Tribolium castaneum: one gene and its partners. The protein of the gene in region 1 purifies or fractionates together with the protein of each later gene. This does not show direct contact. Links are inferred from orthologs where the notes say so. Each region holds a gene or a part of one and is shown in the gene's direction. Other genes may lie near its edges.

What was found.
Region 2: the proteins of HDAC1 (region 1) and MTA1-like fractionate together in Drosophila melanogaster (co-fractionation; 3 studies listed by BioGRID, with this or other methods). This does not show direct contact. The link is inferred for Tribolium castaneum from reciprocal best matches to the Drosophila melanogaster genes HDAC1 and MTA1-like.
Region 3: the proteins of HDAC1 (region 1) and Kdm5 purify together in Drosophila melanogaster (affinity purification with western blotting; 3 studies listed by BioGRID, with this or other methods). This does not show direct contact. The link is inferred for Tribolium castaneum from reciprocal best matches to the Drosophila melanogaster genes HDAC1 and Kdm5.
Region 4: the proteins of HDAC1 (region 1) and Sin3A purify together in Drosophila melanogaster (affinity purification with western blotting; 3 studies listed by BioGRID, with this or other methods). This does not show direct contact. The link is inferred for Tribolium castaneum from reciprocal best matches to the Drosophila melanogaster genes HDAC1 and Sin3A.
Region 5: the proteins of HDAC1 (region 1) and polycomb group protein Pc purify together in Drosophila melanogaster (affinity purification with western blotting; 3 studies listed by BioGRID, with this or other methods). This does not show direct contact. The link is inferred for Tribolium castaneum from reciprocal best matches to the Drosophila melanogaster genes HDAC1 and Pc.
Region 6: the proteins of HDAC1 (region 1) and Mi-2 purify together in Drosophila melanogaster (affinity purification with western blotting; 5 studies listed by BioGRID, with this or other methods). This does not show direct contact. The link is inferred for Tribolium castaneum from reciprocal best matches to the Drosophila melanogaster genes HDAC1 and Mi-2.

What each region holds. Positions count from the first base shown.
Region 1 is NC_087394.1:10,698,296-10,702,250, forward strand, and holds the start of HDAC1 (histone deacetylase HDAC1), read left to right. Parts: upstream 1-1,155; 5' UTR 1,156-1,338; coding exon 1,339-1,387; intron 1,388-1,698; coding exon 1,699-1,811; intron 1,812-1,865; coding exon 1,866-2,307; intron 2,308-3,955. UniProt on the Drosophila melanogaster protein: Catalyzes the deacetylation of lysine residues on the N-terminal part of the core histones (H2A, H2B, H3 and H4).
Region 2 is NC_087396.1:14,172,158-14,176,184, reverse strand, and holds the start of MTA1-like (metastasis-associated protein MTA3), read left to right. Parts: upstream 1-1,227; 5' UTR 1,228-1,411; coding exon 1,412-1,439; intron 1,440-1,638; exon of another isoform or gene 1,639-1,795; intron 1,796-1,857; coding exon 1,858-2,019; intron 2,020-4,027.
Region 3 is NC_087403.1:6,553,770-6,558,064, forward strand, and holds the start of Kdm5 (lysine-specific demethylase 5), read left to right. Parts: upstream 1-1,495; 5' UTR 1,496-1,641; intron 1,642-2,060; 5' UTR 2,061-2,086; coding exon 2,087-2,320; intron 2,321-2,513; coding exon 2,514-2,591; intron 2,592-2,638; coding exon 2,639-2,777; intron 2,778-2,825; coding exon 2,826-2,983; intron 2,984-3,030; coding exon 3,031-3,165; intron 3,166-4,295. Other genes in the region: UPF0746 protein DDB_G0281095, read left to right, coding at 1-176. UniProt on the Drosophila melanogaster protein: Histone demethylase that specifically demethylates 'Lys-4' of histone H3, thereby playing a central role in histone code. Does not demethylate histone H3 'Lys-9', H3 'Lys-27', H3 'Lys-36', H3 'Lys-79' or H4 'Lys-20'.
Region 4 is NC_087396.1:24,661,653-24,665,598, reverse strand, and holds the start of Sin3A (paired amphipathic helix protein Sin3b), read left to right. Parts: upstream 1-1,146; 5' UTR 1,147-1,733; intron 1,734-1,813; 5' UTR 1,814-1,949; intron 1,950-3,946.
Region 5 is NC_087395.1:14,257,104-14,261,354, forward strand, and holds the start of polycomb group protein Pc, read left to right. Parts: upstream 1-1,451; 5' UTR 1,452-1,820; coding exon 1,821-1,880; intron 1,881-4,251. Other genes in the region: protein BCCIP homolog, read right to left, coding at 1-429, 476-730, 777-872.
Region 6 is NC_087395.1:15,688,995-15,693,141, reverse strand, and holds the start of Mi-2 (chromodomain-helicase-DNA-binding protein Mi-2 homolog), read left to right. Parts: upstream 1-1,347; 5' UTR 1,348-1,493; coding exon 1,494-1,530; intron 1,531-1,972; coding exon 1,973-2,055; intron 2,056-2,097; coding exon 2,098-2,232; intron 2,233-4,147. Other genes in the region: macro domain-containing protein CT2219, read left to right, coding at 274-642, 688-856, 901-1,193. UniProt on the Drosophila melanogaster protein: ATP-dependent chromatin-remodeling factor which acts in nucleosome-remodeling by catalyzing ATP-dependent nucleosome mobilization. Involved in regulating transcription. Plays a vital role in development.

The sequences.
Region 1 (3,955 bases):
CGCTGCTTTAAACTCTCAAATATTATTAATTTTTTTAAATTTATGGGCCGGTTTATAAAAGGCTCTGTTAAAATTGAATTCGTTGTTAAAAGTTAACAACGCGAATGAACCAACCAAATGACTTCAATTTGGTCACGTAATCAGTTAATCACGCATTTTATAACTGATTAAATTAATGACGTTTTTATAAACCGGTCCTATGATTAGTTATGATAATTAAACTAGTTTACAAAAAATTTTTTCTTTTACCAAGAAATAATTTATACTGATTTTGTTTTCTTCTCACTCACTAATAACGTAATAACTAAAATATATCTCACATTTGTCTATCACGTCTTGTTTTTTTAATATATTCACTAAAAGTTTTGAAAATATATTCGTTGTTTCTGTGATAAACTAATAGTTAAACATTGTATTTGCTTTAAAATATCGTCAAGTAAATGTAGATTAAGCCCAAACAACTTTTGTTTTTTTGTGGTAAAATTATCTTAGTAAAACCTGAAAAACTTAAAGGCAAGAAATAAGAATTTCTCAGTTTCGAATGTAAAGGGAAAAATGTTTAGGAATGCAACCCCTTAATTATTTCTAACTAAGTGTAAAGAAGAATTTAGAACTTGCTCTACTGAAAACTGCTAACCAATCTTCATAACATATAATTGTTGTTTTCTTCGATAAATAAGTTTTTTACAGTAGAGGCTTCCTTTTTCATGAGAATTTTTGTATGAAAAGCTGATTTTTGTTCATTAGTTAATGTGGCATTATTAGCGGTGTAGTTAGAAAAAACAGTTCTAAGGAACAAAGTTGTGGTGAATTATCTTCTACGATTCAGGTATTATTTAATTTTCCATTATTCGAACATTGGTAAAAAACCGTCTTCAACGTTTTTGGGACCCCTTCGGTTGAAAATCACAGCTTTCTTGATTAATGAAGGGTCAAGGGACTTTCCCTTCGTTAATCAAGGAAGCTGTGGATATGGTCTTAAGGACTCTTCTAAAGAAAAGAGATGGCGCTACGTAAGGAGAGTTTTTTTAAGTTAGGAGAATCAACTCCAACAATGAAAAAGAAAGCTTTGTTACGGCCTTAATGGTGGCATTACAATGCAAAAACGAAAAGAATCACCCTGTTTATTTTTTAGTAGGGAAATTCAACTTTACACTAAATCGCCACCGGTGCTAGGTTGGCGTCCTTGCTGCGGGAACAACGGTGCCATTTGCAAAGCGGCGTGTTGTGCTACCGCCGTAATTCTAATAATTTAAACAAATTGTTACAAAGTGAACAGTGATTTGTAATAATTAAAGCCAAAGTAATTAAAAACAATTTAGTTTTCTACAGTACAAGATGGCCACACAACCTCACAGTCGGAAACGTGTTTGTTACTATTACGACAGTAAGTAGCCACCAATTTCAGCCAAACATGAATTATTCCACCATTTTGGGGCGTTTGTTTTTGAAATTTGCCAACAAAATGCATGCGTTTGCTTAATTTTGTGTCGTATCGTGCTATCATGTAAATACGATTTTCGAAACCGTAAGCCTGGAAATTCACGGTAGACTACGGTCGCGGTATTTTTGCTCGGTGCTGATTGGTTAGCTTGGTTTATGATGAGATGATGACGCTTTTTTGTACGGTGTTACGATGGCGAATGTTATTAGTCCATCGTGAATTTTGATTCAATTCTGATAATTTTGAATTGTTAGGCGATATTGGGAATTACTATTATGGGCAAGGACACCCCATGAAGCCCCACCGCATAAGGATGACCCATAATTTGCTGCTCAATTATGGTCTGTACAGAAAAATGGAGATTTATGTGAGTATTTAATTTCCATGAATTGTTGGTGTTATTTAGTTTTGACTTTCCCAGCGCCCCCATAAAGCCACTGCCGAAGAAATGACCAAGTTTCACTCGGATGACTACATTCGATTTCTCAGATCCATCCGACCTGACAACATGTCTGAGTACAACAAACAAATGCAGAGGTTTAATGTAGGGGAGGACTGTCCTGTCTTTGACGGTTTGTACGAATTCTGCCAACTCTCAGCTGGGGGCTCAGTGGCGGCAGCTGTTAAATTGAACAAGCAAGCGTCCGAAATTTGCATCAATTGGGGCGGGGGTTTGCATCACGCGAAAAAATCCGAAGCTTCGGGCTTTTGCTACGTAAATGATATTGTTCTGGGGATTTTGGAGCTGTTGAAGTACCACCAACGCGTGTTGTACATCGATATTGACGTGCACCACGGTGACGGTGTCGAAGAGGCTTTTTACACCACTGACCGGGTGATGACAGTCTCGTTCCACAAATACGGTGAGTATTCTAAAAATAAGACAAAGGGGCGAAACGAGATACAAAATAACTCGATGTTTTTACCAAAAATTTAGTCCCCCAGAGCATCAGTGCTCCATAGCATCGTTTTGGTTTCATTTAAATTAATTTAAACTCAACCGGTTCACTATTTGTCTGAGAAAAATGTGCTGTTCTAGGGGAAAAACATTATTGAAATGTTTTTAAAACGTTGCAAATACGGTTAGTAAAATACAAAGAGGTGTATAAGTATTAAAGCAAACTGTTCGAAACATTTTTTATATGTCGAGAATTACTTAAATATTTTGTTGTAAAATTTTCTTCTAATACGGTCAGAAGTTTCCAACAAAGGATGAAAATTGTATTACTCTGAATAATTCAGCTAACTTAAAGTCGTTTTATAGATGAAAAGCATTTTTTTAAGAAATCTCATCGAATAAAGGCAAAGAATGTGTTTGCTTTTTTTAATACCTACTTAAACACATTTCTAAGGTAAAAATTCACTTTTCTTGCTTAGTTTTATATTACTTTTGCCTTTGTTTTTGTCAAAAAAAAAAAACAAAAATGAAGATCGGAAATGATTTTATTTTGGCTTTTTTGTTCTTGTTTTGAGTGATTTTCTTTGTTTTTTTTTTCACAATTGCTTTAATAACTCGGTAATTTTCTGAAATTTATATATTCTTTGGACATTTTTAGTTCTAGTTTTATTTATTAGTTTCAATCAATTTAACATTTTGCTTAAATAGGTTTAAAAAGGATTATCAGTGGACATCGAATATCCATTTTTGCCTTTCTTCAGCATTTTGATTAAAAACATACCTATTTCTCATAAATTGGTTACAACAGGACCAAAAATCATTAGTAATCTAAGCGAGAAACTCACTGTGAAATGACCACTTTTGTATGACTTCGTTAAACACTCCGAACATTTTCTTTATTATGATTTCGTTGTTTGTATGATTTCGTTAAACACTTTGAACAATTTCTTTATTACGTAGAAAATTACGGTATTTTTATTATTAAACAAGTAAGTATTAAACAAGTGTAAGATGATTTTACTTTTTTCGTAAAACTGCATTAAAACGCCAAAAATAATTTAATTACGTTTGAAATACCGGATTTTTATTTTAAATATGCAAAACTTTGTCAGAAGACCAATGAATGATCTTGATAGTTGTCGTTCCTTTCGGTGGGCTTACGGTGACTTGTTAAAACAAGATGAGAAATTATTTGATACGTCGGAAATGACGTGAATTTTGAGCGAAAGGTCGAAAATAATGTGAATTATTTTGATCAGTTTTTCTAGAATTGGGTCGTTTTTTTTTTGTAAAATTTGAAGTACAAATGCCGAACATATCACATAATTATTATTTTACCTATAATTAGGTATATATTATTTTTGCTTTTAAGCACACTTCTCACTTTTCTGTTGAAATTTCGCTCAAATAGAGCAAGTGATTATCAATAAAGTTATCGAATATTACGTCACTTTGATTTTTTTCCACTTACTCATAGTAATTCGCATTAATTCGCTAGAATAACAGGCCAAAAAAATCACAAATGAAGGTAGGGAATGACATTACTTTGGTCTTTTTCGCCATACATATTTATGTGGGAAACTAAGATTTGTTGCAATTTTGTCAATAAATGA
Region 2 (4,027 bases), on another chromosome or scaffold:
GGAAAAAACACCAGTCAACAATTTTCGGGTCTAAAAAATTATTTTTTTAATTTTTTAATCTGTAGTATGTATTTGCTTGCAACTTTCAACAAGGACTGTTCAGAGGAAAAATTGCTTTCCGAAATAGTTTTTGCAACATTTGTCCCAAAATACATTTCTTCGAGCAAAAGATAATTTCTTGGATTATTATAATCAATATTTTCTATTGTAACGTTTAATAAGTGGGGTTTTTACAGGGCCGTCTCTAGCTTATAACCGCCATGGTGCAAAGTTTTAAGTGCCGCCCTTATCACTTATTTTTTTTACAAAAAAAACAGCTTTTTATTTTCGGTTGTTATAACAATTCTCCATTTATCTAAAAAAAGGTTTATCGCCTTTCAACATTTAAGCACAGTTACTTTAATAACATCTGGGAGAATCTGAAAATTTTTTCCTAGTTTAAAAAAAAATTGTAGTAAAATGTATCAGGCACGTAATTTATATGATATTATTTTGAAGAGTTAAAAAGAATTTGCAATTTTTTTTGTTTCACTATCCAAATCTGAATTAGAAAAAATGACGTATACACTTTTTTTAAATTGAAGATTTTTTGCAGCATTAGTCCTGCGTTACCATCGTTTATTTGAAGGGGGTTTCAGAGTTGATGTTAGAAGTTATTTTTTATCGCAGTGTTGAAGCAGAATAAAATACGTAATTTCCTGAACAAAAGAAACAAATTGATCACCTCCAAAGAATTTTTGGCAGCGAAATTTGCGTCTTTTCAGTACTTTATTATCAAGCTTACACAGTTATTAAATGGCTTAAATGGTTTACATAAAGAATAAAATAAAAACTAAAAATCATATTTAATACTTTAACTTGCCGCCAGGGTGCCTCCTTGCACCCGCGCTTAAGACGACCCTGCTTTTTATCGGCTAAATTCCTGGAAAATCTGTAGCCTTTGCAGTTCCTATTATTTTCATTTTTTTTAAAGAATAAGCAATCAACACGTGGAATAAAAATTCAATCATTTTTTTAATCTTTATTGTCGTGAAAATATTTTTCAAACTGATTTTTTACATTTTTTTGTAAATGTTGACTTTTGGATAAATCGTTAGATCTACCGAAAAATCGGTGGGTCTGGCAACGCTGTACGTGCCAGTTTTTGCGTATTTTTTGCATGTTTCTGTTTTATCGTCGCAATGTTTCTGCTACTGGCCGCTGAGAGTTCTTTTGGCGTTGGTGTAAACAATCGTGTGTGATTCTTTGCTCAGACGCCAACAGGGAGTTTGATTTGAGAAAATGGCGTCTGTTGGCTTGATGGTGTTTAGTGTACTGACAAAACATTGAAGAAATTCGACGAAATTATTTAAAATGTGTGTCGTATTAACGTAGTATTACTGTTAGGAGTAAATCGTTTTTGTGTTTGAAGATGACAGCTAACATGTATCGTGTCGGAGGTGAGTGTTTGGTGATTTAATTAACCGGCTTCGCTCAAGAGGAAGTCTTTCTCTCGAGTAGTCCAGTTTGATAATTGCGATCGGGGTTCGATAGGTGGATCTAATTGTGGTGATTTTTCGCGCCGCTGCGTGCTCGCGATTTTGTCGAAACGACGGGACTATTAATAAAGCCATCCGATTGTAATTTTACACTTTGGTAATTATTTTGGAGTGTCCCGTCGTGACGCCAGGTGCTCAACCTTTTATCTCACCTGGTATCTTTTAATCAAACAAAAGGAGCTGCCTCGCCAGCCCAATTACTCTCCCGTTTTTGCGAATCAAAGTTGGGAAAAGTTAGTCGCGGGTCGCCGTGAGAGGTCATTTTCCCCGTTAGGCGAGGAGGATGTCCACTGTTATTGTTTACATTTCCGTTTTTTAGATTACGTGTACTTTGAGACGTCATCGACGTCCCCGTACCAGATCCGGCGAATCGAGGAGCTGAATAAGACGGCATCGGGCAATGTGGAAGCGAAGGTGATGTGCTTCTACCGCCGGAGGGACCTGCCCAGCCAGCTGATCCAGCTCGCCGACAAACACCAATGTAAGTCAAGTGGGGCCCTTGTCGCGATTTCCGTTTTTCGGCGGTGCTTCGTCGGGGCGACATTCTCGCTTTTCACGCATTCTAAATGAGTGGAGGGGCAAAAGTCTTGATTAGGCGATCGATATTCGCTGACTGTACCTGTCTTGTCACCGTCCGTGGTGTTGTTTCGCGAAATCCTGCCGCAACTGTACTCGATCAGACCGCGTCGCTATGACAACTGCGAGATGCTTGTTCTTTTATGCAAGACTGTACTTTTATAATTACACACAAAAAGTAGATAACGAAACCTGATGCTTGATGCCGGGGCGATTGTTGTCATCGGCAGGTATTCACCTCGTTAATTTACCATTTTATACCAGGGCCTAGATTGCGGCTTTTTACACCTATTTTAATCCCGGGTCGTCTGGGTCCATCGATTGTTTTGTTTCAAAACTTTTGCTAAATGTAAATTCATTACAAACATGATTAAAAGATAACAACCCTTGAGTTTTTTACCAGCTTTATTCGTTATACCTGCGAGGATTTTTTATTAAAGACATCTGGTGGGTCTGGAAGCATTAGGGGAGACTGGGACAAACTGGTCCGGTTGGGATAATTGTCACTTAAAACCACCATCTTATAAAAATCTCCAATCTTGTGCATTTACGGCGTGATAAAATTATGTTTTTCCAGGTTACCGTAACGATATTACAAAATGCAACTTTGCAGCACTGCTTTTGGTGATTTTTTTGTTCTATTCGTTTACCTGCACTGACTGATTTTATTTGTCGAGAAGCAATTATCGGGCTCAAATGGTAGGGTAAAGTAGGTTCTTTTTTCTTTTAATGTGAAGTTTTGCCAAGTTGAATTATTTGATACCACATTTACTAGAAATAAATCAGATGAAAGTTTAATAATTAATGCAATTTAGAAGTCGCTCCAAAAAAATGCGTGACTCGTGTGATAAATTACTGGTATCACAATGGAGGTGTCTGTATTTAGTGTGCTCGTCGTTTTTGTTACTTTTATATTGGTAATTTTTAAAGACTAAGGAACTAAGGACTACGGGAACTTTTCTCTTTTTTATTAGAAAAATACATCAAACTTGCGATTTTTTTATCCCTTATTCTGACCTTTAGTAAGTAATGGAACAATTTGTCTCAAAATTTGTCAGTAACCAGTGACGTATTTATCCTGCCGCCCAGGACCACGTAATTTTGCCGCTCCTGTCTGTGACATTCTTAAAAAAACAGTTTTGTAATTTGACGCCATTTTGATGCTTTAAGAGATATATTAAAAAGAGCAACGTCATCAAGTCTGATGCCAAAATACCTAGTCATTATTTGACGGAACATTTTACGAAAATTTTTAGGTTGGCAGGAAGTAAATTCGGGACTGCTTTTGTGCCAATTTCAGGAGCGTTATGCAAGATTATTAGCTGTTTCGAAATTAATGAAAATGCCAACGTTGCATTTTCTCTCAAAATTAGCTGTTATAAATTATTCATGCACTTCAAAAAAACAATAGCTAATGTAATAATAGTTTCAATGAGATGTCTAATCATTAATAACTATTTTGCAATTTAGAATTTGGTAAAATTAATTAACTTTTATATAATTTTTATAATAATTAACTTTTTTTAATAAATCAATTTATTTGAATGAAATAGCGAACTCAGTTCTAACACAGATTCTCTAAAAATGCCAGATAATAATTCTGAAAATTAAATAAATACCTAAAAAAGTTCTTTGTAATGTGCACTATATTATTAAATGTCTTCATTATTTTGTAAGATATTTATTAAAAATCACCCTGTATGCATTTATTTAAGAAGTTCTTGTTTTTTAATTACGTAGCCATTTTACACTTATACCCTTTTTCCTATAATCTCAGGTTATTACTGACTTTTTTCAAAGACATTCTTCTGTATTTTCTATAATATGAATTCAAACTCATTGGCTAAACAATTACGAACTTATAAATTAAAAAAATAAGTCGAAAACAAAAAATCTGATCAATTGATTTAAAA
Region 3 (4,295 bases), on another chromosome or scaffold:
AGGAGCAACAGGAGAAACAGCAGGAGGAGCAACAGGAGAAACAGCAGGAGGAGCAACAGGAGAAACAGCAGGAGGAACAACAAGAGGAAGTGCAGGAAAAACCAAAGGAGGATCAACAGGAGAAAGAAGAGCCGAAATTGGAGGAGAAAAATGACGAAGAAAACAAGGAAAACTAATGAATTTGATCAATTTGATTGCTTGTTACATCACATACTCTGTTATTATAAAGTATGTAACAAAATTGATTAAATAAATAAAAATATCATCCTTGTGTTTAATTACAAATTGTTACCAAATACTTCTTCATTAGTCCAAAAATTAATTACATAAAAAGTCAAATGCACAGAATTTCTAGAGAATGAGGCGTGTCTACTTTAAAATTTAAAAATTTCCCGCACAACGGTTTTGGTTTCGCTACCGGTTCACAGGTGGTGCTTATAATTTACATGAAATTGCATTACTTTTTTTATTTTTTTTATACCAAAAATTGTGTTAATAGGTAATGACCTAAAGACCTAACGCCAAACAAACAGCCAAACCTCCGCCACTGTTCATTAAATTTTTTTTTTGAAAAGTAAGTAATAAATCTAAAAATTTTGATTTTAAACTCGAGTGTTTCATTTAAAATTTGAGAAAAAATATTTTTTGAAAATTAACCAAAAAAATTAATTAGGTACATAAAAAATCAAATGTAATGTAAATCAGTTTAAAATTCTATTAATAATTTCAAAAATATGTCTTAATCAATTTTTTATTAAATCGCACAATTATGGTGAATTCATAAGTCAAGTATTTCTCCTATCGCATACAGACACAAATATTTTGATTAATAACGGAAGAGAGGTGTTAACATGCCGCCAATAGTGGACTTTTGAGTTCTAGTGCTCAAGTTCATAATTTCTGCTGGTAAGTCTTTTTATAAATTTCAGGGAGAATTATTAAATTACTTAGAAAATTGTAGTACTGCAGAGCAGAGGGTGATTTAAAATTGTGTGTAGTGTAGAAGAGGAATTAGATTTAAATTAACTTTTTTCAAACACAATCCATGATGCCGTATTAAATAGTGGTTATCTAGGAATTGTTTCTAAATCATTAAAATCTAAACAATTGCTTTATATTATTATTTATAAAACAAAAAATGCACACATAGAGTTGTTACAAATGATAAATTTCAAGGTTTGAACGAAAATTTGTTTTGGCAGACAATGACCTAATTAAATCTAACCCCGCCCCTTTCGCAATAGTCAAACCTCCGCCACTGTTCATTTCTATTATTTTGCAAAAGCAGCAATAAATCTAAAATATCGGGTTTAAACTCCTGTTGTTACGTAATAATAAAGCAGTGCTCCATTTCACAAATCTGATTAAACTTTTAACGAGAATGGACAATTCATAAAGGTCAACGGCAATCATCAGCCTAAGTGCTATGCAACCAATAATACAGGCCCCAGAAATAATTGCTGCACAGTAAGCCAGCGAATTGTTGGTCATGTCGATTGCTGTTCTATATTCTATGGAATAGCTGCCTTAGCTGGTTAGCTATGCGTCACGTACCTTTCTAGTTAACCTAAAAGTTGGTATTTATGGTGCAAAATGTTGGACGGAGGTGTTTGAGGCTGAACTAGGAGCAAAGTGCGTGGTGTAAGTAGGAAATGGGGTGTTTTGTGTAATCGGAGGCCGAATTTCGAATCTTCGTGTGTATTTATAAATTTCTGTGTAGACCATCTTTGTTATGTTGCTATTCACAAGATCCTCAAGCAATCGATGACGGCTGGTGGGGATATTATTACATGTAATGTTGTTGTGTTGGTTCAGAATGAAAAAAAATACTCGAAATTCGGGCAAGTTGGTGTAAAAAGTGTCCCAACGGGGTTCGGGAAGTGTGGGGTTCGCGAATCGGGTGAAATCGCCCCCTTTTCAATAACAAAACGTGATTATTGTGACGGCCAGGTATCGCACCTCGCTAATCTTCTGGAAAGTAACTTTTCCCGAGCTCTGATGATTAGGCCGTGACTTCCATCGTGTCTCGGTGCGAAAAGTCCATCGTGTTTTTCTTCCAGGACTTAATTATGTAAAATTACCCAAAATGACTACAAAAGTGGATAAACCCACCAGTCCTACTAAAAACCACGCGAAAAACACCAGCCCGAAGCAAGACTCGGGCTGTGGCTACAAAGAAGAGTGTTTCGAGTTCGAGCCTCCACCGGAGGCTCCCGTTTTCCACCCAACCGAGGAGGAATTCAACGATCCGCTCGAGTACATCAACAAGATCAGGAAGTATGCTGAGGGATCGGGCATTTGCAAGATCAAACCGCCTCCAGTAAGTCACAAAAGAGACCATCGAAATTATTTCGACTTTGTTAATCAATTCGCACCCGAATAGACTTTGAACCACTCTCAGGAACCTCGGCTATTTTTATTTAGAATTCCATTAGCAATCAAGTGAAACATGAGGTTCTATGGCTGCAAAGCCACCATGTTTGATAGAGGTTTAATACGAATATGTTTTCTAGAATTGGCAACCGCCCTTTGCCGTTGACGTTGACAAACTTAGATTTACGCCACGAATTCAGAGACTTAACGAATTAGAGGTATTACCCCGATTTAGCAAAGTTCGACTTTAATTCTGTTACCTTAGGCTAAAACTCGCGTCAAATTAAACTTCCTCGACCAAATCGCCAAATTCTGGGAACTGCAAGGTTCCACACTGAAAATCCCAATGGTAGAAAAACGCTGTATTGACCTGTACACGTTGCACAGCATTGTTCAAAGTCAAGGTAATTACAAATTGCTGGGTAATTTTTTGTTGGACTTTTGCTTATTAGGTGGTTTTGACCAAGTAACCAAAGACAGAAAGTGGTCGAAAATTTCGGTCTCTATGGGGTACCCATCTGGTAAGAGCATAGGGACCATTCTAAAAACGCACTATGAGAGGTTGCTTTACCCGTTTGATCTTTTCAAACAAGGCAAAACTTTGAATTTTGTAAGTAAAACTCTGGATTTGTTTTTTTTTCTACTGTAATTCTCTAGAAAATGACATCACCCTTAAATGAGGAAAGCGAGAAGGCTGATAAAGACTATAAACCGCACGGGATTGTGGGGCGAATGGCGATCAAACCACCACCTGAGAAACACGCTCGCCGATCTAAACGATTTGATGCCGACGTAATAATTTTAATTTTTTTATTAGGAAAAAGTTATTGGCGGTTAATGACCAAGCGCAATATTCATTTATTATTATTATTTTTATTATTAGCAGACACGAAGAGGTAAGTATCTGTTTGCATCTCGCGGGTAGAATCTGCGATAAGGTCGCACCTCTTGTCACTTGTTCAACGTTTTCTTATCTTCGAAGACGCAAATGGCAGCTGATACGAGGCGGTATCAAGGCACACCCACAGTGTTTATTTATTTGAGATATTGTAATTCAAGTTAATTCTTTCTGATATTGCATAAGAATTAATTTTTTTCGAGGAAACAAAACAAAAATTACATTACAGTTGTTACATGTTTTCGCATACTTAATTGACTTCAATTGTTTTCTTTCATTGACGAATTAGAAAAATTATTTTCTTAAGAATTACTGCACCACAAAAGAACAGTCGCAAAATTACAACTTGTAGGCTAATGAAAAAAATATTATTTCACACTAACCATTCTATGTCAAAATCTCAAGTTCTTTATTGTTCTTTCGTTACCAATATATCAACAAATAATTCTTATTTTGTTTTATATAATTTGAGAGTAGAGGGTTTAATGTTTATAAAACTTTTTTCCACTCAGCGATTGCAGTGAATCATTAGTGAAAACTCATAAATGCACTTTTGTTCGCGGATTTTTTTCCATTTTCATTTTAAACTCGCAGTTTAGCACATAACTTTCATTTCACATAGGTGGTACATATTAATACATGAATTGTGCAATTAAATTCTATTTAAAATATTTAATTTGTAATTAACATTTTTCCATTTGTACAAATATTGAATTAAAATTGAAAAAAATTAATTAATCTTCATGTTACGAGAATAATACGCAATTTTATTTGTAAACATAGAAGCGACAACGAAAAACGCACATTTTACATATTTTGAGACACAGCTTAAATTTCCAATTCCTTAAAAAAACAACGCTGATGTATTGAAATATAAAGAATAATTTGCCGAAACCTTAAAACGATTTTGGTTTCCTACCTTTTGGAATCTTGCAATCACAATTAAACGCACGGCCCGACGAGTTTTGACCGATGATTACTTGAAACTGAGGCAAATGTAACTATTAGCCTTATCTCAGGCCGC
Region 4 (3,946 bases), on another chromosome or scaffold:
ACTTTTTCGGAATAAACTGGCAAGAATAATATTTTCGCGGCTCGCTTTCTTCAAAATAAAACTGGTTGACGTTCATAATTTTCTAATGACACGTTTCTACCTTCTGATTGGCTAAATTGGGCTTATGCTGATAGTGATGGCTGATAGTATTTGCTCCAATGGTATTTCCCGTAATGAAAATTATTTGAACCGAAAATCTTTCACAGTTATAATCCCGTGGTTTTTATAATGTAAAATTAAATCGATAAAATACATAACCAAACGGTCCAATAATACAGTTAGTTTTTGTAAGAATTATCTAATTGGGAATAATAATTGGATTAATTTGGGTTGAATTCTAACTAATTGGATGTTTCTGTTTTTTACGGTAATTTTTTACAAGTTTATCAGAAGTGTATTGGAGCCGTTTTGACTCGGAGCACAAACGTGACCCCATTTTCTTCAATTATTTATTGTCTGTCATAGAATAGAAGCACTGATTGAAGTGGGCAACCCAAAATACAATAAACCAAGTGAATTTATTTTTTTTTCAACTCTTATCTTTCTCAAAAAGCTCAAAAGCTCTTAAATATTAGCATATGGTATTTGTTTCAAGTTTCAGATTGCTACATAATTTTTTAAATGGAATTTATGACCTGTTTTAAATTTCCAATGTTCTCCATGCATCACTGTGTGTGTGTGTGTGTGTGTTTTTTTTTGATGTTTTGAATCCAAAAATGTGATTTTCAACTATTTTTATACACTCACTTCAGTTATTATTATTTTTTTAATTTTTCATTGTGGTTCTTATTGCCGAAGAGAGTGACTAAATTAATAATTAGTAATTAAAATGTGTCTTCTTGAGGTGTGTGTTATGCAGTAATGTTCACTGGATGTATATTCAACATAAAGTGGATTTATGAATTAATTGCATAGACAAGTTTTTTACTTGTTTTCAGATTTTTATTTAATTTTATATTTTTTATTAGCCTCTGCAGCCACGTAATCATTGGCACGAATACTTTTAGAAATTGTTTAGTTGATTAATTTCTTGTAGGTATAATTATTTTTAATAGTAATAAAAATGTTTAGGTGTAGTTTATTAATAATAATTAATAGACACAAAAAGAGTTTGAATCTTGATGTCCGGCTTAATAAGATTAATAACAGTCAGAGGTCAGTTTAAAACTTTTACATCTGCTACACGCTCAACTAATCCGAAAATGGGCACTACATTGTTCTTTGGCGGGTATTTTTAAAAATCGATAACAGCGCCACTGTTCTCTTCACATTGAACTATCAGAGCAAGCATCAAACAAACCTTTTACGGATCAGACAATTGATTCGAGGGGCGGTCGCTAGTATCCGAAACTGAAAAAATCCACAATATGACTAAAGTGTAATTTTTCTGGAATTGGGAGCTCATCCTGTGGCACGTCGTAATGTTTGTGTGTAGGTTTTGTGCATTTTGGTGATCAAAAACTTGAAAAATTTGAAAGTGGGCAAAGCGACCAACCACCCGAAATTGATGGACTCGTCCAAACAAGCTCGGAGATTTGAAGCAGCCAGTCAGTCGACAATCGGTCATCGTTTCGGGTGGTTCGGAACAGAATGTGTCAGAATTTTCTTTTGATGAATTCTAGTGTTTTCCAATTATTTCCCAGTGAAATCAGCGCGGATCGGTTGCAATTGTACGGTGCATCCCCGGCACCAGTCCGCACGGAAGCGCTTTCCGCGAAAGAGGCTTTTGTAAGGTGAGTGACATATTTTTAACTTTTCACATTGACACAAGTGTTGTGTAATTGCAATTCCCAATTCGGCGCCGCTTTTCCAGCATTTCCCATGGTTTTTCCGCGATTTCGGCGTCGGCGTTCCAAAATTAGCCTCCGTCGCGGGGGCCGGCACTCTCCCTCCGTGGAAATTTCGTCGGCCTGGCAACGCTTTTCCGCCGAAAATCTGCCGACCTTTCGGTAATTACGAAATTTCGATGCAACATTTTGTATTTGTTTACTGACAAAGAGTCGCGTCCGATTTTCGGCTTTATGCACTTTCGTGTTTGGGTCGCTTCGGTCGCAGCGCCTCGCACGTCCGGTTCCCTGCCCTTCCACTCGCCTATCGATTCCTTCATTGGCCAATCGCGAGCCTAGCTTGCTAGATCGCGGGAGCGAAGTCGACACGCAACGTTGCCACTGCCACAAATTACTCATGCACAAAGGTGTGGCAACGTTGCCACAACACAAATGCCGAAAAATGGCCACCAGAAACCGACACGTGACGAGATTTTTATGCGGGCTTTCTAAAACTTTGACGCGCGCCTTTTCAAGGTCATCCGTGAAAGTTGATTTACTGTTTGCATAAATGGTTTAGGGTATGGACTATTTATTTGGTTATCTCACGAGTGCCAAAATGATAAGAATTGTTACCCTGAGTTTTGTTTTGTTTTTTTTTCCGGGGAGAAATACCGACGCCATTATTGTCCGGAATGACGCGATAAGTAACTGCGTAGCAGTTCGTATAAACGCTACCGGTTTTGTTTATGCCAGAAATAAATAAGTGGGCGTGTCGTTTTGCGGATCAGCTGAATTGAAAATGTTCAACATGGGATCGAGAAATGTTCCATGAACGTTGTTGCCGATATTGTTGCAAATTTTCCTCGAATCTTATATTAAAACTTTAAAAATATCAGTGGTTTTGACTATGATGGACGAAATGTTGTTGGATTTTGTTTACGTAACATGTTATTTTGAGGTTATGTCGAAATAAAGTCATCATTTTGCTCTCCTAGCTTGTAAAAAACAGTATGGTCAAATTACATTTTTAAAAGCTTTTTTACATGTTTATTTCCACAAATTATTTTTTTGTCAAATACTAGTTTAGATTTTTGTTTTTACGATTTTTAGTAATTCTTGAATAACATTTTCGTGCTGGAATGAACATGTTTATATAAAATTTCAGAGGTAAGACGAGGGAAATAATTTGATAATTATTCAATCTGTAGGACGTGTTTCATAAGAGTAGTCTGTGCGAATTTTATTAAAACTGTAATTATGTGTCACATTGTGCTCTACTTTAATATTATTCATTTATCTACCAAATAAATAGGTAGTAAAATTATTTAAATTAGAGTTTGTCTCTGTTTTTAATTTAGGTATTATTATGTATGTTTTAAATTATAACGTTATAATAATTACTAACGGTGTATATTTATTTATTTGTAAGAAAAAGGTCAGAGATAATTACAAAAACTGATCTGACAGTAATAACATGCAGAAATAATGTTTGTACAGCGGTGGATAGAGGATAAAAATGGCAAATTGTTAAAAATTAATTTACATAATCACAATTATAGGTATTGGAAAATGAAAATTGGTTTTACATGTAATAAAAAATGTAATTTCTATTGGAAACCAATTTATAATGGAATGTTAAATAAAATGCTTACCGGTTATTATCATGGGTTATATATTTTTTGTCTAAAAAACATTGTATTTTTTCACGGAAATACAATATTCATAATATCTTCTGAAATTATTAATTAAACAAAAGGTAGGTAATTGTTAGGAATTCGATTAATGTAATAAAATAGCAGCATATCATGACACGAACACGTTTTTCTTAATCTTATCACAAAAGTGTAATAATATCAACCAGATGTCTCTCAACTCGAAAAGTGAAAAGTTTAATTGCCGTGATTTGTAATTATAAACTAATCAAATGGAAGTCTTCACACGTGTGTTAAAAAATGAAACTTGGTTAAATCACATTTAAAAAAAAACACAAATTTCGAAGAGACGTAAACCGTCACACTTGTTCAAACGAGTTTTAACCCAGCTCTTCAGTCTTTTCATAGAACAAAAATTAACGCCCATTATCAGCGTAATTGATTACGTTATGCGCATTAGCCCCTATCGAGCAATAATAACAGACGTCCCATTATTAAATGATGGCGACGTGTAAACATCTTTCG
Region 5 (4,251 bases), on another chromosome or scaffold:
TACTCTGTGTGGAATCAACTCTTTATCTTCACTTTGCCAATTCCCCGTCAGTCCTGTGTCACTTTTTCCGGCCACACTGTATTCAAACCTACAGTCAGCTTTCTTCCAGAAGATTTCTTCTTCATCATTTGAGAAGACGATTTCACTACCGTCGCTTTTGGACTTCCAGTTTTTACAAATCATTAAATAGTAATCAAACTTATAGCCGTCATTCTTCTTCCCCATTCTGTGTATTTCATCTTGTAATGCGTGTAGCATAGGAAGGGAGATTTTTGATGGTATGTTAACAAACCGCTCATTGATAATAAAACCAATTTTGTTTGAATTGTTTCCCACAATTTCTTTAAATAACGATTTAGCTTCAGGATCCGCCTGTTTCGTAACCTCATCATCAACTAACTTGTACAGTTGTTGAACACATGGTGTCTCCTGAAAACCCCCTATTATCCCCAGGTTGCAAAATAAACACAACCACCTTGTGTTGCGTTAGATTGATAACACTGGTGATACCAAACACATCAGACTCCTCCACCATCTCAATATCTTCCTCGTCGTCGCTATCGTTAAAACTTTGCTTCAAAACAGATCCAATTCCAGCCTGAGAAATAAGCATGTCACTCATTTGGCCCAAATCAACATGTGCAGTTAAAAATAACTGATTCAGTAACTGTTTAATGCCGTGAAAATCTTGGCCTTCGGGGTTTCGGCCTTCAAAAGTCGCTTGGATTTCCTACAAGAGCACGTGTCATAAGTATAACCCCAAAAACTGTACCCACTTGTTGGCCATGGTAACTCCCGGACTCGTCACTTTGATATTCCTCATCAGAGGCGGGTTTCGCGACCTTTCGCGACTTTTTCGAAGCCCCAGCCATGTTTTGAACTTATTTGCACTAAAAACTCAACTCTCAAGCCAACCGGTTTGTATTCCTAGGTTAGGGAATTGTCAAATCTCAAACAAGTGTCAGGGATTACAGTGGACCAGTACAAAAATCTAGTTTGGCAAAATAAAATCTGAAAAAAGATGAAGTTTAATTTAATATCAATTGATAGCTATTGGAATAATTATTTAAATTATTAAGGATTTAAAATTGCATTTTTAATCTTCACAATTGGGAAATCCCGGGAAAGCCGCAAAAAATGTATTTTTTTTTCAGTAAACAATCAGTTATTGGCAATACTGGGAAAAAGATAAAGTTTTAAACATAAATTACTGCTAACAACTTTGTCATTCTTTCACGAACCAAAAAATTATCATAATTATAGGCAATGAGCAAGTAACATTATTGTGGACAAAAAATTGTTATGTAACCTTATAGACACACTAAACATGTATATGTGATAAAACCCGCGTGAAAAAAAATTTAACTAAAAATATTCGACTTTTTTGAAATGTTGGAAGAATATTTTGAAAATTTGGTCGGCTGGACGAGTCCATTATCCCAGAGGGGTGGAAAGTGCTGCAAAGCGAGTGCGATAACCGCAAGAACATCCCCAAAGTCCTTTTTGTGCAAACTTCTGGTGATTTACTTGAAGATTATGTGTGATTGCCTTTTGTAAATCGCGAAATGAATTAATTTCGCCAAAAATATCTTTGCGCTGCGCGCACAGTGCATCCAACCGGGCACGTCAAATTCCCCAAAGCCAATGTGATGTGAGTGAGTTGTTGTGGACGCAATTTGTGAATTTCGCGGAAAACTCCGTATTGTTTTTCTCGGGAAAATGCTGAGAAAAGCTGAGTTCGATTTGTGGTTGTGCACTTAGATGAGTATCTGGTGCGCAATAATTTTCGGAGTTTTTATGCGTCCCCATCAGCCATAACAATGGAACTTGGTGACCATGTTTATGCCGCCGAAAGGATTATAAAAAAACGAGTCCGTCGGGTGAGTTTTCATCCTTGAAAATGATTATCCTTTTCGGGTTGTTTGGTGGGGGAAATGGGGGCTCCCGGCGGAGCTAACCTCGAATTTCCATCGACAGTTTGCGATGGGTTTGTTGATAAGGTTTGTGACTCAAGGGGTATTTCCTTACATAATTGGGGTTTCCTGTCACCCCTTCCGGTCTAAGACGTGAGTCACGGCTGAGGAGCTTCGGGGAGGAAGTCGTGGGGTTAATTAGGACGCCGTTTTCGGTTTTTTTCAATAAAAGTTGTCAAGAAATGGGGGTTGGGGCTGTAAGTCGTCATTATTGTTGCCAAGTGCCACATGTTGAGGAAGTTATGGTATAATAGACGAAACGGGTTTGACGATTGACTGACAATAAAAGCTTTACAAGCTTATTATTACGGTTTGGAGTCAATAAAGTAATCCAAGGTCGTAATTTATAATTTATGAACTGGTCGAAATGTCTGCAGATGTTCACTAATTTCTTGAAAAATGGTTAATCAACTTGGGGGCTTTGATATAGAGTTGTGCTAATTTGGAGTAATGTGAAGCTTGGTAAAAAATAATACAGACGTCGTCTAAACTGACGATGACTTAATGTTTCAGTTGTGTAAACATTGAGATAAGAAATGTTGAAAAACCAACAGAACGGAAATGCATTCTTCAAACGTCGTGTAAAAAAATTTACTCCAAAATAATAAAAAAAAACTGACTTTGAATATTAAGCTTTATTTATTATTTTTCACTGTTATTGAACTAAACAGATTATTTATAGTTATTAATAATACGAGTGCGAAAACACAAACTTAAAGTTCGAGGGCTAGACACCCAAGAACTTTAAGCGTTTTCGTATGAATGTTATTCAATTTTTTTTGTTGGAACATATTAATTTACGTTGCTATGGGAAGAGTGTTTTAAAATTGCTATCGGAAACGTGTTTTAAAATAGTGTTTATAATGTAGGATTCAGATATCAAAAAGAACGGTTAAAATATTACCAACAAAAAAAAACTGCATCAAGCTTAACAACTGAGTGCATTTCGTAACCAAAATGAAAAAAGGAAAATCTTTTTTTTGTTCACACCTTGTTTGTGTTTCTTCACTTCATTTAACTTTTTATCATGTAACAGTAAAAGACACGAGTTACATGTCTCACAGCAATACCTTAAAAATTTTGAACAATAAAAAAATCAAGTGGTAACTCAATTAATTCCCTATCGTTTAAACTATTTAATTTTTTACTCGACTAGAGATATTTATTTTTGCCTCGGCCATAATACTTGGAACACCCTATACAAGAGAACATTTCGTCCTAATTTAATTATTTTTTACAATTACCGGATGTTAATGTCAAAGCCATAAAAAGAGATAGATTTTGATTCCAGATTATTCGTGAATGGAATAATTTGCATAAAAAAGGTTAAATAAAGAACACTTCTGACTTCAACTCGAAACCATTAGATTGTATGTAATCAAAAAAATTGTTAAAATACGGACATATGACATGTGGCGTGATATTTTTAGTTATGAAACTCATTATGCAATTTGTATTTATGTACTAGATGTTTTTTGAACAAACTCACATTTTTCTAAATTGTTTGTATTATGTTTTTTTAACTGCTTAGCATTTATAATTGCTGTTGTAAAAACATGTACGTCGTAAGAAAATGCAAATTTCTCATCTTGTTACACGTAGTTGCAGTAATGAATCATCAAATTTAAAGCAACTTTTCTTAGAAATTTCAAAATAAATCCACGATTGCATTGGCAACTTTGTCTTTGCTAAAATTTCATTATGAACTACTTTTATTTATTATTAAAAATATAAAAATTATTTATTAAAAATCAAACGCATATTCAGTGGTAAGTGTAATTAGTATTTTTGGTTGCATCTAAAGAAATTTCAGAAATAATCTCTAAATAATTCATAAAACAAAGCAAAATTAATCATGTCGTTGATATTCATACAAAAATTTTAAAGTATTGTAATATCACTTTGTTTATATTTTTCCTAATGTAGACTTTACGATAAAAAGTAGCCACATTTTTTAATTATCTTATCTTAGCATTACCTACTTCAGATTAAATAATAAAAATTTAACTGGTTTAAAAAGATAAAAAATGACAATTTACGATTCATTAATTTTACTTTGATGAAACTTAAAACATAATAATTTAATAATAAAATCATATAGAGTATTTTGAGCTCTTTTGGCTAGAAATGTTTTTCTTGGCTCAGAAGACTTTTTTATTACATTTTGTTTATTATATGTTGAAATATTTTTAATTTTATTTGTTTTTTTCAAATGAAACCAAAAAAGTAATTTGAGTAATTTACGGTCAAACTCACTCAACATGTATCAAATTTCTTC
Region 6 (4,147 bases), on another chromosome or scaffold:
GAAGTGTGTGTATTAGACCAACCGTGGCGCTAGCATAATTTACCTCTATTTATTTTGTAATCATTAGATGACTACATCCATAATCTTATCATGTAAACATATCAAGTGAACAAACACTACCTAAACGGCCCTTTCATGCGAAAACGCGCCCTTTTTCAAACAAGTGTTTTTTACAAAAAGAATCGTAATGTTTTTAGTGGAAACTCATGATATATTAACGCAATTAACAATAAATTCAATTCAATCGCGCGTTTATTTTTTTTTTGTATTAAAATGTATTGTTGGTTGCCTACGAATAAGGGGAACCTAACCTGTAAAATGTTTTGTTGTGAAAAAATCCTAACGGCGATAACCGTTGGGGTGAAGACTCGTACTTTTGCAAGTGTTGCAAGTGTAAAAATGGCCGGTTGGAAGGAAGACAAAGAAAAATTTCTGTCTATGCCCCTGGACGCCAAAAGAAAATTCTACGCCGGAAAGCAATACAAACAAATATCAGACATCCCAACTTGGGAGGAATACGCCAAAAAAGCGACCCTCGCCCCACAAATCCCTTCAAAGACCGACTTCCAAATCGACAGTTCCCTCAATAGCTCTCTCTGTAAGAAGGTTTCGATTTTCCAGGGCGACATCACAACTTTAGAGGTACTTAATTATTTAAATTCACCCGAAAGTACATTTATTTTCCAGATTGATGCGATTGTGAACGCCGCCAACACGTCCCTCCTGGGCGGCGGCGGCGTCGACGGGGCCATCCACCGGGCCGCTGGCCCCAATTTGCTCGCCGAATGCAAGACTCTCAATGGGTGCCCCACCGGAGACGCTGTCATAACTGGGGGCTATAAACTACCAGCGAAATGTACGTTTGCCCATTGGTGGCTGAAGACTCACGCTTTCTTGCAGATGTGATCCACACGGTGGGGCCCAGGGGCGAAAAACCGGGCCTTTTGCAACAGTGCTACCGAAACTGTCTTAAAATCATGGCAGAGAGGAAACTGCAAACTGTGGCGTTCCCGTGCATTTCCACCGGGATTTACGACTACCCCAACGAGCCTGCGGCACATGTAGCCGCCTCGGAAGTGCGCAAATTTTTGGAAAAAAACAGCGAGGTTGAGAGAGTCGTTTTTTGTATTTTTCTGGACCAGGATCATGTGATTTATGAGGGGGTTTTGCAGTCGTATTTTCCTTTGAAATAAATGTTTGGTGTTACTTAATTGTTTTTTATTTTTTTCTTCCTCTATTAAAAAAAAATCAAAGTCAGGTGTGATTTTGGGGGAAAAACTAATAAGAGCGAGAGAGACGCGACGAGTGTTGGTTATTTCGTTCGAGAATTCTGTGACACATGCGCCGTTGGCAGCATTGTCTAGGAAAGGGGATAAGAGTGAAGTGAGGGAAAGAACAACTATCCAAGAAAAGCCGTGTAAAGTTTGTTTCTTGTGGATTTTCCTGAATAAAAAGTGAACAATTAGTGCAATTGTCGTTGAGTGGCCCGCGTGATGGCTTCCGACGAAGAGGTCGAGGACTCTTACGCCGGTAAGTTTGTTTTCCGTCCGGTGCATAGGTGCGAATCTAAGCCGACTTGATATTCATGTGTTTTACTTTTAAGTGCCGAAATTAAGCCAAACACCGTTCGGTCCGGCTCTGCGGGCCCCCCGCGGGCCCCGGGCGCGCGGCTGGGGGCCCAGAGGGCCGCAAAGACGAATAATTATAACCTGGTAATCAGTTATATTAGGCGCGGGGAAAGGGGGACGCAGGTTTTCATTATTTTTGTGACAGCGCGCGGGCATATCCTGACCCTTAACAAAATGGAGGCCATCAAACAAAGAGATTGGCAGATTGTAAATTAAAGGTTTCCGCGATAAATGTCTCGGAGGTTTTGGGGTTAGAAATTTCATATTTTCCCTCCAAAATTTTGTTATGATCACGCTGACCACTGTCCACATGGCGTACACATGATTTTATTTTTGGTAATTAGGGGAGGAGGAGGCTCAGGAGGAAGCTGCGGGGGATCCCGTCGACAACGAGCCCGAGTCCGACGAAGCCCCAATCAAGCATGGAGTAATATTTTTAATTCAAGGTATTTTTATTTGGCTAAATTAGAAGTTACAGGACGAGGATGATGACTACGAACCGGAGGATGCACGAAAGAAGAAAAAGGGGAAAAAGCGGAAAGCAAGAGGCGAGGAGAAGAAGGGCAAGAAGAAAAAGAAGAAACGGAGAAATGACAGTGGAGACGTAAGATTTTTTAGCCAATTGCAATTTTCAACAAAAAAGTGCAAATGCTATTAGACGAGAAGGGGTGTCTTTTTCCCTGAATGCTAATTTAAAATACGTTTTCATTTTTAATTAAGGAATTTAAAAAAAAATGGACTGAAAGTAGTTTGTTTCTATTGTTTTTTTTAATCGCAGAATCATGTTTTTCGAGAACCTTAATTACTCCAAAAAAACCTGTAAATTATAATAATCAAATCCAGCTTCTCTACGTTGCTAAATTGGTCTCCGCTTAGTCATAAAACGATTTAATTTACGACTTAGATCTGGGTTGACAACTCAGGAATAAACAGTAACTGAAAAGTTGAACATGTTTGAAATTCGACGAATTGCAGTAACAGGGACGAATTGTCTTCCTGCTTATTTAGTGTACGCTTCACATGTACTTTTTTTTTCTTTTGCTCTGAATTATTTTTCACGTTTTCTTTCTATCGTTTAATAGTATTGATCGATGTTCTATGTATATTTAACGTTTATTCTTGATGATTCTATATTTTTCGAATGTATTTATTACATAGTCTGTACACATAGTTGCCCACTTATTTTTAATTTTATTGGAAGCAGTTACTTCATTTTTTGTTTATTTTGAGATTAGCTCAGAACGTGAACAGTGTTTGAATTTTTTAATCTGTTACAGCCAACACAACTGCTTATACAGGCAGGCTATAAAAGTTAAACTTAGGGTTTCTGATGTCTCGACTTTTTTTTTTTCTTGAGACCGCAGAATCCTCGGCTGGAAATTCTCCAGACTTCTTGAATCTCGAGAAATTTTTAAATTAAAAAAAAAACAAAATTTTTAAACAGATGCACAATAAAATAACGCTTATTAATAACCATAACCATAATAACAATTATTAAATTTTGTTAAATAAAAATTTTATTTGCTGCTTTAGGAATTTTTCTGACAAAGCCAGAATTAACTAAATAAGACTTCCTTCCATCAAATAATGTGTCTGTCAATTATACAATAAATAAAAAAATTAGTATTAAACATTAAACAGGTTCCACTTTAATAATAAAAATGAAAATATAAAATACGGACATATTTAAAGAGATGAATGATAATAGTAGAGGTCAAAAGAAGTTAAAATAACTCAACCTGTCTTACTTAAATATTTAGTTTCTGAGGTAAGAGGGTGCAACCCCCACTTTAGCGTTAGAAAATTCGTCAAAAAAAGCAATGTAAACGGAGTTTTCATCTGCTCTGTACTTTATTCCCAAGTTTCTTTCAACAAAATGATTTACGTTTTGCAGAAAGTTTTTGTTTGTCCTTCCGATTAAAATAGTAACTGATCAAAGCACATTTTAATGTCTTAATGTAAAAAACGAATATAAAATTTTTATCCTGTGAATAAATTAAAAAACCCAAAAATTTTAGTAAAAAATTCATACTCTCACATAAGTGGCGGTATTTTCTGTCTGTATACTCTCGACTCTTCAGTGTTTTCCGGATATATTCTGATGTATTTAGACTGACTAAATTTCTATAAAAATAATGTCTACCTACTTATATATAATAGAGTTAATCGTCTATTGGTAGAGATAATGTGAAGTATTTTTCTTGTGTAATTATAATAATAGATTAGCTGATGGTGGCATTTTAATGCCGAAACGCTCGTCAAAGTATGATAAAAACTGTTAAGAATTATTAATAAAGATGGATCTTAAAAAACTACCAAACATTAATCTTAACTACAGGGTTCACAAACGAATTTAACTTCCTTATTTGATAACTTTTTCAAGAACGAAAGTAAAGAAACATTCGTTGATGGAGCGAATTCAATTACAATTTTTTATTGGTTTTACGAATATTGCAATGTCTGTTATGCAAAAATTAATTCTTTATGAACGAGTGCTCGTATTAGATCATCTGTGAGAA